Linked DNA regions of Coturnix japonica. Each later gene encodes a partner of the first gene's protein in a complex. Links are inferred from orthologs where the notes say so. Each region holds a gene or a part of one and is shown on either strand. Other genes may lie near its edges. The genes, in order: ANXA11 and TARDBP.

Region 1 (8,894 bases):
CTTAGCATGCTGTGAAATCCTTATGTTTTATAGCAGATTTCTGGAGACTAAAATCTAAGAAACATAACTCACTTATACCCTAAGCAAAAAAAGTCACATTGGCAACGCCTGCGTTTCCTTCAGCCAGTGTAAAGGGTTTTTACTGACATCTGTTAAACATTAGCAGAGCTGATCCTATGCTTTCTTCAGAGATGAGTCACTTGCCTCAACTGCAGAACCTGGCTCTTTTTTCAACTGGCCCAAAAGCAGGTAATAAGCAAAACCTGAGCTGTGTTTGCCAATATGAATACATTAAGAACAGACAGTCAGTATTAAGCACACACGTCCCCACTCCTCTGCATGGCAAAGTCATGTCTTACATCCTCGCCTTCTGAAATTAGGCTCTTTAGACAAAATTTATCAACAGATTCTGCCTTTCTAACATAAGGAATAGCTTATGGTAACCATTTACTTCAACAGATGGTACTGAATGCTCAGCGTTTAAACAAAGGTTAGAAAAAGGCACAAAACAAACCTGCTGTAAACTATTTGTCTACAGTACCAACATCACAACTTAAAGAAGTCACAGTAAGAAACATCAAATGAAAGCTGACTCACCATTCCAGCCATGTAGTTTGGGTTGAACTGATTAGCGTAGCCAGCCACATTTTCTAGACCAATTGGAGGTGGATTTGAAGGTGGATTTGAAGGTGGATAGGCAGCACCACCCCAAGGACTGCCACCTGAAATCAAACACAGCTGCACTGAAACAAGACACGACACCTTTTAAAGCTTGTCTATCAGCCAAGATTAAACACCACTACAAAAAACTCCAAACTGAACGTAGGAAGAAACCACTGGAAGCCCCAGTGTCCAGAAAACCCTGCAGACTCACGCTTCATTCATTCCACCTTTTCACTTGTGAGGACCATGGGTCACTTAACAGTTACTTCATCTGATTGACTCACCTGGGGGTGCTGGTGGATATCCACCTGCTGGGGGATAGCCCGGGTAACTCATTGCAAAGACCTGAAAAGCAGATGTGAGACAGTCATTTTCTGCAGCGCCTGGCTAATTACACCACATGAAATCAACAGGCAGTATGTTTGCAGAAGCCAGGCAATACAATCTGGATAACAACCAGACAAGTTGCAGGGGCTTTTTTGGGGAAAGGACTTTTTATTTTGGACCAGTGAATATATTCAGATATTTAACCAGCTCTACCGTCTCTCCTCAGATTATTTCTCTTACTCATTTCATACATACTCCTCATTTTGTCAATTACATTGTTAAGGATGCATCACTCTAAAGCATGTTACCGTGCCATTAAATTATCACCAAGTTCACAACCTATGCAGAACAGTTTTGTTAACCAGAAGTAGAAAAAGCAGTTGACAAACAAACCACATCATCAAATGACTAAGATCATGAGCTGCGTAGGAGGTGACTGAAATGGAAACATATGCAGAAGCACAAGGTCAGAGTAAGAAGCTGAAAGGACACAACACTGTCAGCACTGTAATAGAGGGCGTACCTAAAGGAGATCACTGAAATAAATTGGATCTCTAGAAGTTGACAGTGCTTCTGTCAGAACGTACAGACAAATGCCATGTCATCAGTGCCCAAAATAAAAGTGGACTGTTAACCACTGCCACTGCTTGGAGACTGGCTCTGTATTGGTCAGTGCATGGTGAGTAATGGCACTGTGCATCACTTGCTTTGTATATGCCTTTGTAGTTATTAGTCCCTTTCTTTGGGAGAGCATTTTGATCAAGTGGGCTTCCCAAAGGCTGCAGCTGTTAAGGCACCCTTCCAACATGGCTTCACACCATGGATCCATTCTTCAGGAGTAGGCTGATGCAGCACAGGGCCCCACGGGCACCAGTGGCCCCAGACCAGGGCTTTTTATCCTCTTTTTGCTATTAATTTACTTGGTGTAATAAAATCTGACCTATTCATGGCCTATACCAGGCTGGGACTCTGCTGCCTTTTCCCCCCAGCAGCTCCTGAATGAAGCAGAACAGGCAGAAGCCTCTTGTCTAACTACACATAACCACTCAAACACACAAACAGCACAAAAGACAAAGAAGAAAACAAAGAACCCAAAATAGTTAACAAAGGTTTCCTACTTCAACACCTAGTACAATGCACTTCCACTGCTTATAAGGTGATGTAACTTGCTATAATGAAGATAAATACCCCCCCACTTCATGGGTAATCATGGGGGGACTGTTTGCCTGTCATGGATAAATCCAATAATGATAACAAGATGCTTTTCAATACAGATTAAGGTACAAATTAAAACACAGAAAGGCTTTTTTTTTTGTGGTGAAGGGCAGGGCAGAATGGGAGCTGTGTGTCCTAGAAGTGTTGTTAGCACGCTTTTAATCCTATGTGGAACATTCCCTTCTGATTAAAGAATAATAATGAAAAGAGTCATTTAGCAATTAATACTGAGGTTGACAACTAATGGCAAACTTCATTAGCAGCCTAAGAGAAAGTGTTACTATATATATCAAAAAGTTCCACTTGCTTCTTTTGAATGCTGTACTTGTCCAAGCCTTTTCACAAGGAATTTCTTCCACCTTGGTTCCATTCCAGGCAAACCAAATCCACAAACACACCAACTCCTCACGCTCACAAACCTCCTCCGTCATCACTTCATCAAGCCCTGCTGGCCATTCCTCTAACTGAGCAAACCATTCTACATTCAATTCCCCAGCCACTCCCACAACCTCATCTCTTTCTATGCCCACCACACCAACTTTTACTCTGCTACATCTTAGTCAAAACAGAAGGGGGACACTGAATTGCTGACAACAGAGAAGAGGATTCAGGAGTCCACCACCCAGTTATATAAATACTGCGTGGGAGGATACAGGAACACGGAGGACTGTGTTTGCTCAGTCATAAAAGCACATGAGAGAGAAAAAAAAACACCAACAAAAAGCAAACAGAAACAGGGAGTGCCTTGTATTAAATATAGAACTGACACTGTTAAGGTCCTCTCCTCGCCCTCAGAGCTCACCCTGGAGGTAACACCTAAAAACGTGACATGAAGACCCTGCAATTTGTTTAGTTCAGCATTCAGCCTCCAACAATACCACGTTCCAATAGCCTGAAGGCAACAGTTATGAAAACATCACAGCCTTTGTTGGTTGAAAGCAATCTGTTTAATTAGGACTGCTTTCCAGGGAACACTGAAGAAACTTTACTCCTTGGTCTTTTCCATCTCTTCAGGGTGAATTACTTACTAGGATGCGGTAACAAAAGGCTGCCTAAAGCTATATATTACACAACTCCTCTCTGCAGAAAGCAGAGCCCGCTTCAAGGCTGCTGATTGCACCACAAGAGCTCAGAACAGCATCTGCCTCCTTACAGCAGGCTGCAGATCTTCATCACAGGTCAGCTGCCCATCCTTTACTGTGTCTGTGTAAGACAAGGACAAGCCACAGTCAGCACCATATCAGCTACCTGCTATTGTACCAGCCTAAGCAAGATCTATTTTTGACTTGCTTAGCCCAACGCAGCATTGAAGTTGCTCTTTCCTACAGCAGATATAATACCCTACACCCTGTGAAACTAAGAGCCCTGCAGTGTGGTTTTAAGTCTTCTGTGTATGTGACTCCTGGACATGCTATAAATGGCCCAAATTATGTTCCCAGCTGACTAATGCCTCAAGGATTTCTATCAATCTATTTTCAGTTCTACCATAAAAGACAATTTTTTTCGCATCTTCAGTGAAAAGTAAACAGTAATTAATCCACCTCACAAAGCACCCTCTGTGGGGGATCCTACAGAACTAAAGTGACACTGTAGCACTCAGTACCCCACAGCACATTTATATGTTTATAGAACATACCCATCTCCCAGGCGTAAAGTTGGTCTCTCAAGTAACAATAAAAAAGAATATTGCTACTGTCTTCCTCAGGCAACTTCAGCATCTGAGTCCAAGGAACTTGCCAGAGCAAAGTTACATCTCCAACATCCTTTTTTAATCAGAACATATGCCCGTACCTTCAGGAATGTGAATTAGAGGCCTATCACAGCAAAGATTCTCAGAAGCTGGGAGCCAAAAGCCTGCAGAGGTCCATCTCTCCCAGTGTCCAAACAAATACCAACCAACAGCTACAAGGAAAGGAAAGCATCCAGGCCAGAGCTCTCTCCCACCAAAAGCTGAGACAAAGCCTGAACAGAGGGACAGGACGGTGACAATTTCCAAGCACGCTCAAGAGAGTACTCCCTGCAGTGGAGGAACAAGGCTTCCTCTCATAGCCAATGCACAAAGACCAGGAAGCAACGCCTGGGCAGGCCTTCGGTCTGCTTCCTTGTTCTTAGAAAGGATGCTGGTAATGATTAGACAGCACAGAGATCCCGCTCTGTGCCATGGCCAGCCACATAGCACACATTACCAGGTTTTTATTCTTGAAAGCAGACTGAAAAGGCCTTGTGTTCCTATGATGCAGTGATGAGCACCAGCCCAGACTCACATCTGGGACAGCTGAGCAGTACAGGTTCAGCCTCACGCACCAGCTGATAGACATGGGCAGGACGGGCTGCCTGCTCAGCACAAGCACTTCATCTAAGTGACTTCTAGAACCACCTCAGCACATCTCCACTGCGACCTGCTCTATATTTACCCCAAATTCCTATCTAGATCTACCTTCCTATCCAGATCTTGTAGCGAACTGATAACATCTAGAGCAAACTGCAAGCAACAACAGAACCGGTACAATGAAAATATTTGGTTAACTTATCTACCACTCACAGGAGGAACTGCGTTATGTTCTCACTACAGTCTCCAAAAGACATCTATTTTCTGGTACCACACCAACTAACCTGGCTATACAGCAGTACATGGCATCTTCTTTTTATGTGGACACGTTTCTACTGCCTCACAGACCATTAAACTATAACAGGAGCTGAACAGCTTCCGTTTTAAGACGCTCTAAGAACGCACAGGGCCAGAAAAAGGGAAGTACGCTGCAAGCAGCTCGCAGGAAGCTGGTTAAAAAAAGGAATAAATAAATAAAGGAAGGAAAAATAAAGCACGCACGGACAGTTCTCCCAGAAGAACCCCCTTCGCTTCTGCCTCACAGCAAAACCAGCAGCTCAGAACGCACCAAGGACACACGCACAGCACACAAGTACGAATGCGAGAAGCGCCCGGTCGTCCCGCAGGCAGCAACAGCCGCTCACCGCCCCCTGAGCCCCGTCAGCCCCCTGCCCCGACCCCGTCATTGGGGACGTTCCCCCCCTTCCTCCTCACTCCCCCCACCCCGCAGCCGCTCCTACCGCGTTCCGCAGCCGCCCCGGTCGCGCTGTGAGGCGGTGACAGGGCGCAGCGGGGGGCGGGGAGAGCCCTGCGTCAGGGGAGGGCGAGCCGGGCTGCGCTCCGAGGCCGGGCGGGGCTGTGCGAGTTACAGCCCATGGCCGCTCCTGAGGCGCTTCGCTCCGAGCGCCATGCGAGGGGGTGGGGGTGCAGACACAGCGCTGCTAGCACGTCTTGCAGCCGTATTCCTTTCAGGAAGGCTGGCACGCGGTGTTTACGACGTGAAACGTTTCCTTGGGGAACACCAGCGGCTCCCGACTCAATAACAAGGTTGTGAGTTCCAGCAGAACCAAAAGCTTCTTTCCACTGTGGAAAGTCTGCTTCATAGAAACCGCACGGCTCCACCCGGCGGCCCGTGTGACTGGGAGGCCGCGCTGCCCCGTTGGGCACGGCTGGTTTAAAGCAGAAGCTGACTGCTTCGGACAGGAATTGCTCTTGTGCTTCAGGCCGGCAGCACGGCTGACTCAAAACTGGAAACAGCACAGGCTTTACAGACTGGTTTAAACCTTCTAAGATCCCTTCCTATTACCGGCCCTTCACCTGCATTGGGAAAACATCATAGAACAGAACAGGGTCACAGAACTGCTCAGGTTGGAAAAGATCTTGAAGATAAAGTCCCACCATAACCCAGCCATACAACCCTAACTATCATGCATACTGCTGCTTCCTGGCCCACCATTTCTTCTACTTCATGGCAGGGTTCAACTGCTGTGCTTTTTACCATAGAACATCTGCAAAAGAACCCCACCCAAAGCACTGTGCTACCCAGCTGTGTGAGAAATGCCACCAAACACAGACCCAGGGAGGTGGGAGAAGGGAAAACAACAGAAGTCTATAAAAGTCTCTATATAAGTCATATATAATACACATTTCCTTCAGTGAAGTTCTATGAGAGGTTCTGAGGTGGAAGACTTCCCACATAGAGCTTTTGTAGCACAAGGGGTAGCAGATAAACCCTCAAATACAAATGTTTTTATTTTTTTTTCCTACATGCATTCTTTAAAGATGAGTGAATCACTCACATGGAAGCGTTTGGAGAAACAAAACAAGGTCAAAAGGAAAAAAAAAAACCAACCACCAAGAAGGCCTGACTTTTTGCAATTACTTATTTTTTTGCTGAGATACTCATCACAATAACATTGTTAGTTATGCAACTACAGCAGGGCATCAACTCTTCTCTGAATCTGGGATTTTCATATACAGGGTCTTAGAACCTCCTTATGAGCCTGGATTTCCTCATATGCATGTCTTAAACAAGTCCATTTGATTTAGAACTCATCCTGATGGATGTGCTCAAACTACTTAAAGCATAAGACCTGGTTTTATGGATGGGAACTGCATCTACGAAGGGTCGTCTCTTCAAGAGGAATTCAGATGAACATATTTCTTCAGTGCTGTTGTTCGCTGTTGTTAATAAAGCCCTTTGAGCATCATGCCTAGGCTAACAGGGATATATAAGGAAACTTGTGCTGCTGCAACCAGTCCCATAATAATTCCAGACCTGGCTGTGCTTGTGTTAAAATTGATTGCAATGCTCCGTGGATTTCAAGTAAAGTTCAGCTTATGGCTCACTTCTATGAATCCCTCTATTTATCCTGCTACTGTGGCTGTAAGTTCCACACCTTTGATGCTACGTAAACAGAAAACTGAGCTAGCTACAGCAGCATATGGAATATTTTTTACTGACAAGGAAACCATTGTGCAGAAAGCTCCCTAGGTGCCATTTTCAGGCAGGGAATGAGGCATTAGCTTTGCATGTTTCATTTCTGGAAACTTTTACACAGGAACGATAACTTCAGTTTAGGCTCTTCGGGAACCTTGGCTGGATCACATCCCTCTTCCTGCCAAAGCCGTAATGGGCAGCAAATGTTCTTGTCAACAAAAAGATATCATAGTGCGTGTTATATCAAGAGAAAGTTGCATAACACCAGCTTTAAAGGAAGATTTTCTGTAAAACCAGATGGTTATAATTACATGACACACATTAGAGCTATTTGGCATATTGGAAGCCGTTTCTATGTTTTAAAGGGCATAAAAACACTAAGAGATCATCCTCTTGTATTGCATGCACACATCCAGGTCTAGCTCCAGTAATTTATTCCTGTAATCCCTCAGCCCGCTATTTCTTCCTTGAAATTCTACTTTGCCTCTGACAGATGACAGACTCAAACAAGTAACGAAGTCGTAACATGAATTCCTACCAGGAGCCTCTAGATTCCTGACTTGGACTCTCCCCCACACTTCCTCAGCTTTGTTATAAGGATGTCACGGGAGACAGTATCAAATGCCTTGCTGAAATCAAGGTAGACTCCAACCACCACTCTCCCCCACATCCAACCAGCCAGTGACAACATCACAGAAGGCCACCAGGTTGGTCAAGGACGACCTCCCCTTGGTGAGCCCATGCTGACTACTCCTGATAACCTCCTTTTCTCCCAGTTGTCTGGAGATGGCATCCAGCACAACCTGTTCCATCATCTTTCCAGGGACAGAGGTGAGGCAGACTGGCCTATTTCCTGCATGTTCAGAGCTTGATTCTTTAAGGTTCTCTGAATTGATGGGGGTTTTGGAAAGGCAGTCTCTCAAATACTTCCATTGTATTTTTGGCAACATGAGGAATATGTGCACCTGAAGAAATAAGCACTTAAATTCTTCAGTTTTGTTATTTCTTCTAGGCATTCCTTGGTTTTAAACTTGCTTTTTTACACACTGTTGCTAAACCATGCAGTTTCTAATTCTTTTTTTCCCCGCTGTTTTCCTCTCCTACAGCTGGACCTTCAGATGAACCTCAACTCTATAAAAAAATACCATATGCATTTATTCCTTTTCTTCTGCAAGTGCTTTATAGGTCTGATAATGTTTGAGAGGCAGTGTTAGCTCTAGCCTGTTATACTCCTGAAAAAATATTACCCCACCTATACCTGCACAGCTTAAGCGCCCAGTAAGAGAAAACAAATACATTAGCTGACATATTTAAGCATTTGTGAATGTAATTCAACTGGGAGCCTGTGAAACTCATCCAAACAGGTTCTATATCAGCCATTTATCCCCCCTACTGTTGGCTGTGGTATGTATAATGTTATTATAACATATGTTATATTAACACACTGTACTCTTGATCATGATAAGCGACTTTCCAGCCCCACAGAGTTTCTGAGTGGAACTTAATATGACACAAAAACAGATGGCCCACCTTCTTCTTCCCATAGTCCACAGGAAATGAAGAATGAAGCAACTGAAGCAGTCTGACACTCAGTAACGTCATAGAGAGTTACCAAATCAGGTCACTAGTTGAGCAGGGGACTTCCTCCTTTAGGAAATAAGGAAAAGAAGGGCCACTACAGAACACCTCAAGGCTCTGCATTAAGTGACATATAAGTTATTTCAAAGCATGTTCTCATTGTGACACTCTAAAGTATAATAGACTTGGAAATCTCCGGTCTGAATACTAATTTCAACACTGGTATTTAATTATATTCTTGCAGTGGCTCAAACTGCAAAGAAGTTTTAATTAACCCAGTAGAAAACAGGACAACGTTAGTAGAAGAGGCAGCCACTTAAATAACCAAGGTCCAGTCAATAA
Region 2 (8,838 bases), on another chromosome or scaffold:
ACAGTGTTAAAAAAGGAAAACAACAACAAAAAAAAACAAACGAAACAGAAAAAAAAACCAACGACACTGCGTTCTCCAGTTGGGGCACTTGGAGATTCTTATGGTGGGATCAAATTAAAAACGAGAGGGAGAGAATGCTGTTTCTGACCAATGGTTTCCATTTGGAACATGCAAAGAATTCAGGTAGCCAGGAAACGAGGGGGAAAGTACTACAGGAGAACCCTTTCCTATTGATTGTAGTGTTAGTTTACCTAGCAGGCAAACAGCAGTCCACTTCCAAACATTCAGTATTCCAACAAGTTACGTAACAAAACTTATAAAATTCCTTTTACCTTTCTTCCTCTTCCTTTTTTGTATTTTTTTTTGTTTGTTTGTCGGTTTTTTACAAAAGAAAAACGTCAAAAATACTGCTGAATATAGCGCACATTGAACAAAGTGATTTGGAAAAAATTTATATGTAATTTACAGGATACTTACCACGAGTTAGAAAAATTTGATTTCCCACCAAAGAGTCAGTATGAGAGCCCACTGCGTCTACATTCCCCAGCCTGATGATTTGGAATCCATGCTTGAACCAAAGCCTCCGTTAAACCCACTGCTGGAACCCGCGTTGGAAGCTGAACCCCAGCCTATTGCTGCTCCCGAGTTGGAACCACCGTAAGAGTTATTTCCTGAGCTGAAGCCCTGATTCTGTTCCCGCTGCATGTTGCCTTGGGGCTGGTTGTTTCCCGACGGCCCTGACTGGTTCTGCTGGCTAGCCAGCATGCCCATCATCCCCCAGCTGCTCTGCAGGGCTGCCTGCGCTGCTGCCATCATGGCAGGGTTGATGCTAAAGGCTCCGAAGTTCATGCCCCCACCCATGTTACTGCCCTGGTTGTTACCCAGTCCTCCCCCACCTCCTCTGCTGTTGCCAAACCCCCCCTGATTCCCAAAGCCTCCTGGGTTACCACCAAATCTTCCACCTCTCTCTAACTGCCTATTGCTATTGTGCTTAGGTTCAGCATTGGATATATGTACGCTGATTCCTTTAATGATCAAGTCCTCTCCACAAAGAGACTGGGCAACCTACAAAAAATAAGGGATTAGTTAAATGTAGGCTATTGTATTTTCTTAAAAAAGAACATTCAGCAGTACAAGACAAAATAAGCCCGTGTGATCCTAAGCAGATATTTACTTAACCTGCAAAAGAAGCACATGAGTATATTTGAGGCGTTCTATCTTCACGTTTGCTACAGAACTAACTGCAGTAAAAAACTGTATGCACAACAGCATCTGAGTAACCTAACCTCAGCCAGGCTAACATCGCTGAAGGGACCCTGAAGGGTCACCTACTGAAACACAGGCTGTCTAAACACGGGGTTAAAACACTTTACACGTACCTGATCATCTGCAAATGTAACAAAAGCAAAAGCTCGGAAAGGTTTAGGAATGAAGACATCTACCACTTCTCCATACTGAGCAAAGAACTGCTGGAGTTCATCTGCTGTCATGTCCTCAGTGCAGCGCCCAACAAACACTTTTCTGCTCCGCAAAGGCTCGTCGGGACTTTGCTGAAGGGAAGTGGAGAGAGAAGTATAATTAATGAATGGAAACTTCAACATGAAGACCAACCGTTCAGAAGACTGAAGATAAGGAAGTTTTAATTTGTAAGCTTCAGACTTCTGAAACTCTGTTCAGAGAGCACGTGTGCAACTCGGTACAGATGGGAACAGGGAAATAAAGGTAGTCAGTTATGGGCAGTGACAAGGCCAGTGCAGGACACGTCACTGTGCTGCACATTTAACTGCATATCCGCATGATCAGAACAGACTCATTCTGATATTCCATAGTTTCATGTGGCAGGCATGATAAATAACAAACTGCTGGATGTTAATAACACATTATTTTGTACTTCATATTGGAAAACTGAGTGCAGATATAACTAGCTATATCCCCAACACGTCTCATTCACTTCCTGTTCACCCACCTCCTCTATTTTCTTTATCCTGTTTACTCAGACTCCAAAACCACGAATAGGGCTTTTATTAACGTGTTCATCTGCTCACTTCGCACAGTGGCTATAGAAGTGAAGTTGTGAATGTTAGGCAAAACAAAGGTAGTCATAAATATGAAAGTACCTTAGAGTTGGGAAGTTTACAGTCACACCATCTGCCATCTATCATGTGTCGCTGGGACATGACCTTAACCTGGGTTTCATAATCCGTAAAACGAACAAAACCGAAACCCTTTGAGTGACCAGTCTTAATATCCTTTTTAACCTAGGATAAAAAAGAGCGGACTTTAAAACAGAACACAGTAGCACCGTGCTTGTGTTGGTGACATTAATGGCATGCTATTTACCTATCATCTTCTGTATCAATCTTGATATCATCACCAGAAAGGATACAGCCAGATCTCTGATTACCCCCCTTGTATACAACTACCTTTTCCTATGATACTAACCCTGCTATTATGCAGTCACAGCACAAGCTTCTGACACCTACAAATTTAATGCATTCTGACTGCTTTGAGCCCCAGTATTAGTTACTAAAACAGCAGGATCAGCATCAGGGTATAATTACTTTGTAACACTGTAATGACACGGCCAGACCTGCTATATAAACAATGCAAGCACACACAGCTGCATGCAGGACAGAGCCAGGCAGTGGTGACAGAGGTAACCTAGAGCATGCAACATGCTGTTCCTGAATTAATTTAGTAAAGCTTTGTTTTAAAGCCTGAAAAATAAGACATATACTCAGCTGTGACAATCAGCAACATAAACTAAAGAGCTGTTAATACATTGTACCCATTAGGCAGATCTGCGTGGATTACCACTCCCAAATATTCCCATCTGTACCCACACTACAAAGCTCTAAGGCACACAGCTTCAGATCTGCTCCTTTCTACTTTCTATCATCAGAACCCTGATTTCTACTTAACATCTTTCCATACTCAAAAAGTATTTTACCTGCACCATGAGGACTTCTCCAAATGTACTGAAGTATTCCTTTAAGTCTTGTTCTGTGGTTTTCCAAGGTAAACCTAGGACTATCAAGTCCGAAGTCTTCTGTACTGCTCGTTTTACCTTCACGGCTGAAGATGCATCTGTTTCATCCATTTTTCTCTTATTATCTGAATATAACGATGTACGTTAGAAATCATCCTCCTAACTTTAGAAACCCCTTCCACTAATCTTGAACAGCGCGGTATAAAACCAGACAACACTAAGAGGAAGTGCAGACAGCGGAAGAACACATGGCAGCTGTTGGAGGTTATCATTACAACCCACAGCCAACTGTCTGCAAGCGTGAAGAAAGAACGACCTACCAAGTCCTCCTATAAATGACCAAGTCCTCCTATCAATGCATTCTGAGTTAGTTTTGTGTTAGTTTACTCAAGGACCACCCAGTAATGTTTACTGAGGATGGGAACAAGATGGGTTTTTGACAACGATATTTAATGAGAAGGCTATTTCTAATTATTTTGGAGTGCTTTTGGTTGGATTTGTCTCACGTAGCTGTGACCAAAGCACGGCTTGAAGAGAAGTGTCTGTGAGTACACACAGCACCAGCATCTTTACAAGTTCTAATGAGGCTGCAACTCTCCCAAGCACAACATAAAACTGTCATCTAAGCCCTTCTGCAGCTAAAGAATTGAAGCTCTGAGTGCATCTGAAAACCCAGCGGGCTCAACTTCACCTGCAGGATGAACACAAGTCAATTGCTGTCACACACATCGATCTCTGGACTACAAAGCGCACTCATATGGAAACACAAAGGCACAGCACGAACCTTTGGGGTAGTTCACGACATAGACCAGGTTTCCCCAGCCGGCCTCAGGTGCGTGCAGGATGCCCTCCACCAGCCGCACGCCCCGCATACATTGCGATACCGGGTTGCGGTAACGCAGCCCACAGGCCCCGGGGAACTGCGCCGTGACGGTGGAGAGCAGCACGGTGCCGTCATCCTCCGACGGGATCTCGATGGGCTCATCGTTCTCGTCCTCCGTGACCCGGATGTACTCCGACATGTTCGCTGCAAGTCACTGAAGCGTGAGAGAGAAACACGCATCAATAACAGCCCCAACAACGCGCCTCGGGCCCAGCGGGGCACAGAGCGGCACCGAGCGGCACAACGGCAGGGCACGACCCGCCTCGCCCCGCCCCGAGCGGCGCAGGCCCCGCAGCGGCAACACCGGGCTCAGAGCCCCCACAGGGCCGGGAAGTGCAGAACAGCCCACGGGACAGCTCAGGGCTCACAGCTCACAGCTCGGAGCTCAGAGCTCACAGCCCGATCCCCGCCGCCCTCATTCCCAGCCCCGGCCGCCCCGCTCCTACCCGTCTCACCGGGCGGGAATGCAGCGCCGCGTCCTCAGCCCTCAGCGCCTCCAACGCGCCGCACAAAATGGCGGCCGGGCGGCGGGGCGAACCACTGTGAGGCGGAGGGGAAGATCGGGGCGTGTCGGCCGGCAGCGGGAGGGAGCCGGGATCGAGGCGCGGCTCCTGCGAGACGAACAGGAGCTGCAGCCCGACGTCCCGGAATGGCACGGGCCGACAGAACCGGAGCCGGGCTGTGCGTGCCGTTACCCCGCAATGGGCCGTGGTTCGGGCCGAGCCACGCGGGGGCTGCCGGGAGCGGCGTGAGGCGTTCCCGCCCTGTGCGCCTCCCTCAGGTGGCGGTGTCCGTCATGGCGGTGCGGGTCGGGTCGGGGCGGTTTGGAGCTGTTTAGAGCAGGTGATGCTCGCTGTTGTAACACTGCTTGCTGTTTAGTTCTTCCTAAGCCCAGTTTCTATTTAGTTAATGGGAAGTTAAGCCTCCATATGCTGCATAGTGATCTCCTGAGTCCCAGGCCATGATAACTAATGGACACTCGTGTTGTTGCTGCTGTTGCTCTGGCTCCATAAGGTAAGAACCCCACGCAGGACAGTGTCTGTGCTGAGCTGTGTGTGGGCAGCCAGATAAGGGTGGCTCAATCAGCAATACAATACAATTGTACAATACAATACAATACAGCACTGTGCTGTGCTGTAGTAAGGAAAGCAGCACCTTACAGCTCCCATCTCACCTGTTCTTGGTGCCTCTGATCACACACAGGCTGTGCTCACACCCAGATTGACTCCCCTTGTACCACTGTCCTTAAAAAGAACAAAAAGAAGCAATCTTGTTAGTAAAGGTAGGTGACTCCTGCTAGGTAGGGCCAATCCAGTTCCTTGCATCGACACAGAGAATTGCTGAGTATTTAAAGCTCCCACTTAAAACTTACAACTGCAAAACTTGGCTCTGGCACCACTGAAACTTGGCCCATCTGTGCCCCGGTAGCTTTAGACTCAGCCTTATCATTTAATTACCATTTTCCAACAGAGTTCTGAGAGCAGCTGACAAGACACAAGCTGACGAGATAAGCTAATGCTCCATGTAGGCGTTCTCTTGAAATTCCTACATTTTCCAGCCATCCACAAGACACGTCCCAAACCCAGTTCTGGTGTTGCCAAGTCAGCACGGAGGTAGTCGGTGTTGTCTGAACACGCCGTGAGGACTGAGCGGTAATTGCAGCATGTCAACATTACCTACTGCACCATTCCAAGTCAAAGCTATAGTTTAGCAATCAACGCTATTTGAAGAGGTTGCCGTGGCATTCAGCCAAAGTGACCTCTATCTGACAAAGCATCTGCTGCTAGTTTTATTAATGAGCAGAGTAAACATCAACCCTGTGCTAGATTTGTGCAGGTAAGAGCCAGGGGAGGGCAGTGAGCAAATGTAACTATCTTTTTTCTGTAAAAGCTGGGATTCTTGCAGCATTTTCCTACTGTTATTTTGCATGACTGTTCGATTTAAGTTAAGCAGATAACAACAGTGTTGCCCTTGAAGTAACTACACCAGCGGGCCAGCAGCTAGTTAATACACCAGTTGTCTCACGCTGGCAATTCACAGTGCCCATGGGTGCAGACAAATGCAGTACCGTGGTACTAACCATCATGTATATCGAGTTAAGTGTGCCCACAGGAAAGAAAGAAAATGCAATACAATAACTATTTGCTGCTCTGGGTTAAGTGTGCTCGTGGGTACAAACAAACTCCATAACGATCAGCTGTTTGTTCTCTCTCCCAAAAGCACTTGGGGTGAAAAACCGCCATCAATGGCCATTTAAATATAACCTCATGATTAAACAAACCAACAAGCAAAACAGATAAACAGGGAGTACTCGGGCCTATTTCTAACTTCAGTTAGATCAGTAAAAGGGATTTAAATAACGATGTCATTTCAGCATAATCAGATTCTGGCCTGGTTATGCCAATAGTAAATAAGCATAAGTGTTGGTTCTCATTCTAACTGTACAGTGAGAAAAAGAGCCTACATCCTTTCAGTCAGCCTTACCTGCTCCTTCATAAGCACAGTCCTCCATGCACACCAAGTCAAGCCCACCTTGCACGTGGTTACCTAAAAGAACAGGACACTCTTCAGTTATTCATTTCTCTTTGTCATCTAAGGCCATTTGAGCCTTCAATTAAGCCGGCTGTATATCACAGATACTGTTCCCCCTCAAGGGAACAAGACGGGTAATATTTCATTTTCCCAGCTAAAGCTGAAAATCCATTCACACGCAGAAGAGCAGCGTTTTACAATACTTATCTTTCTCCCTTCCACTTTGAAGCAGCTTTCATCACAAGGACATTTGCAATAATTACTTCCTCCTCACCCCAGAAACGTCTACCATAAGCAGAACTTTCCGCACACAAGCAAAGGAGAACTTTGCTTTATATACACATAAAAAACTTCTACTGTGAGCTTCCCAACATACAGATTAAACACCTCACCAGACCTTATTCTTGTCACCCCAAAAGGAGAACACGTCCGTTGTTCTCACAGCAGCACTCCTCCTACTCCCCTTTGTTGAGGCAGTTCTAAGAGTTCCTTATAGTGCCTGCCACACTGCAAGCAACTTTCCCATGATCCTAAAAGGCCACGATTGCAATTATTGCATTTGAAATCCACCTGAGATGGTTCAGTCCTTTAACAGGCAGAATTTCCTCATTCCTTATTTCCTGTCCTTATTTACTTAGCTCTTCCAAAAGTGACTGGAACTGCTGATGTGTTTTTCAAGCACAACTGAAGGCAAATGATTTGTGTGCTTGACTGTTGCAGGCAGCCAGAAGGACGCGGTGCTTGTTAGCCTGGGACCTCCCAGCACCAGTAGCTGTTCTGAAAGCTTTGGCTTTCTTCCTCTGCCACACTACGAAGTGAAACTGCTGCTGCTTGTTTCATCGCCAGACAGATGCCGAGTGTTAGAGGAAGAAGAAACGATCACAATTGGCAATGAATGTTGGTGGGAGTGAGGCTGATTAGCTTGTGTTCCTTTGAGACAGCTGGGGTCAGCCATCCAGGTGTGGTTTCCCAGACCCCTCACATACAGAAGGATGCCCTTGGCAAGGAGAAAACATGCAGTGATTGGAGAGGCAGCAGTGGTGACAAAAGGCCACTCTCAGCTCCGCAGCATCTGCTGGCAGTTTGGTGCTGACTGCTACCTTTGTTTCTGAGCTGTGAGCTACAGACAGCGGGTGGAAGCCATGGGAGCAGGAGGCCCACGCTTCTGTCGGCTACCCCGAGCACAAACGACCTCGTTGTGCTGAGCAAGCAGCAGTGCTGTAGTGTTCCAGCTCCTGCTGACACAGTTGCCAATTCTTACTTGTCTGCTGAGACAGAGCAGTGCTCTTGGGAAATGTTTTCTCTGGTTTTGTGCTCTAGGTTCATGGACAAGTGGCTGGCATTGTGAGGCAGCATCAGGTATCACCCTTCTGTTTTAGTTTGCGGATAGACAACATGGTTGGAGGATTTCAGTTAGTGGAGCTGGTGACTGTGAGCATATACAGGAGTCTTGCCTTTAGAAGCTGAAAATCAGGGTTCAAAGCACAACAGCACGTAGCGTCTGACATCTTCACTGTCTTGTTTGATTGGTACCTGTGGGAACTGCCCCACGTTTGCATCTTGTACGTGGAGCATGCAGAAATTAACTTGGTTCTGTTTTGTTTGGCAGTCCCAGCAAACCATCAGCAAGTCACCTCCCTCGTTTTTCTGGCCCATCCACAGCAGAGCCTGGGAAGAATGTCTGCCTGTGGTTCTCAGAAGCATCTAGTCAGTTCTCAGAGCTGAGTTCCTGGTGAAGATGTGGCAGGTATCTTCCAAAGGAATTTGCCTTGTACAGTGTAGTGCAGCTGGGATTCAGGCTTTTTAGATTACGCAGTAACTCCCAGCAAAGGAGAGTGTGAATCTCCACCAGCACAGGTTGCCACAAACCAAAGGACTAAATCCACAGACAGGGCTGTGCTGGGGAGCTGACTTTGATCCCTTACACCTGCACCTGGTTTGCAGCAAATACAAGCATCCCTATTTACACCCGAAGCTGGAGATTGACTCCTTCAGCTCTAACATTTGGGTGGCTGGGGTAAACTTGAGTAACTATTCCTGTGAATGGGAATAGCGTGAAGGAAAAGTCTGCCAGGATCAATGTAAAAGGTGCTTTGTTGAGCTTTCCTTATTCTTTTTTTCCCCCTTCAAATAGTGGGCATAATTTCTTACAGCCTTACCCTGAAGCGGTGCCTCAAGTATGAGACAAAGAGCGCTTTAAAATGGTTTGGTTGCACTGTCTACTCGGTGATATTTTTTTAAAGAACATTTACGAAAGATTTATGTAAAATCTATCTTTTGTCTACTTAAAATATGTCAAATGGATGTACGGGGCAAAATTTAATGCATATGGGTTTTCATTATTTTAAATCATTTGCAATAGAAATGATTTACTGTGACATCAGACATTCGTTCTTTGGCTGTCCACCATAAATTGAAGCCCACCCAAATTTCC

Evidence for each region.
Region 2: the proteins of ANXA11 (region 1) and TARDBP are in contact, whole or in part, in a cryo-EM structure (PDB 9FOR), measured with the Homo sapiens proteins. The link is inferred for Coturnix japonica from reciprocal best matches to the Homo sapiens genes ANXA11 and TARDBP. Residues at the interface, in NP_001148.1 of Homo sapiens: Gly56, Met57, Ala59, Met61, Ser62, Gly63, Phe65, Asn69, Pro71, Asn72, Leu73; in NP_031401.1 of Homo sapiens: Ala328, Leu330, Ser332, Trp334, Gly335, Met337, Gly338, Met339, Ala341, Ser342, Gln343.

What each region holds. Positions count from the first base shown.
Region 1 is NC_029521.1:4,220,490-4,229,383, forward strand, and holds the start of ANXA11 (annexin A11), read right to left. Parts: upstream 5,514-8,894; 5' UTR 5,275-5,513; intron 1,009-5,274; 5' UTR 1,000-1,008; coding exon 948-999; intron 723-947; coding exon 598-722; intron 1-597. UniProt on the Homo sapiens protein: Binds specifically to calcyclin in a calcium-dependent manner. Required for midbody formation and completion of the terminal phase of cytokinesis.
Region 2 is NC_029536.1:3,495,622-3,504,459, reverse strand, and holds the start of TARDBP (TAR DNA-binding protein 43), read right to left. Parts: upstream 4,585-8,838; 5' UTR 4,319-4,584; intron 4,027-4,318; 5' UTR 4,012-4,026; coding exon 3,774-4,011; intron 3,115-3,773; coding exon 2,951-3,114; intron 2,259-2,950; coding exon 2,118-2,258; intron 1,551-2,117; coding exon 1,380-1,550; intron 1,066-1,379; coding exon 535-1,065; 3' UTR 1-534. UniProt on the Homo sapiens protein: RNA-binding protein that is involved in various steps of RNA biogenesis and processing.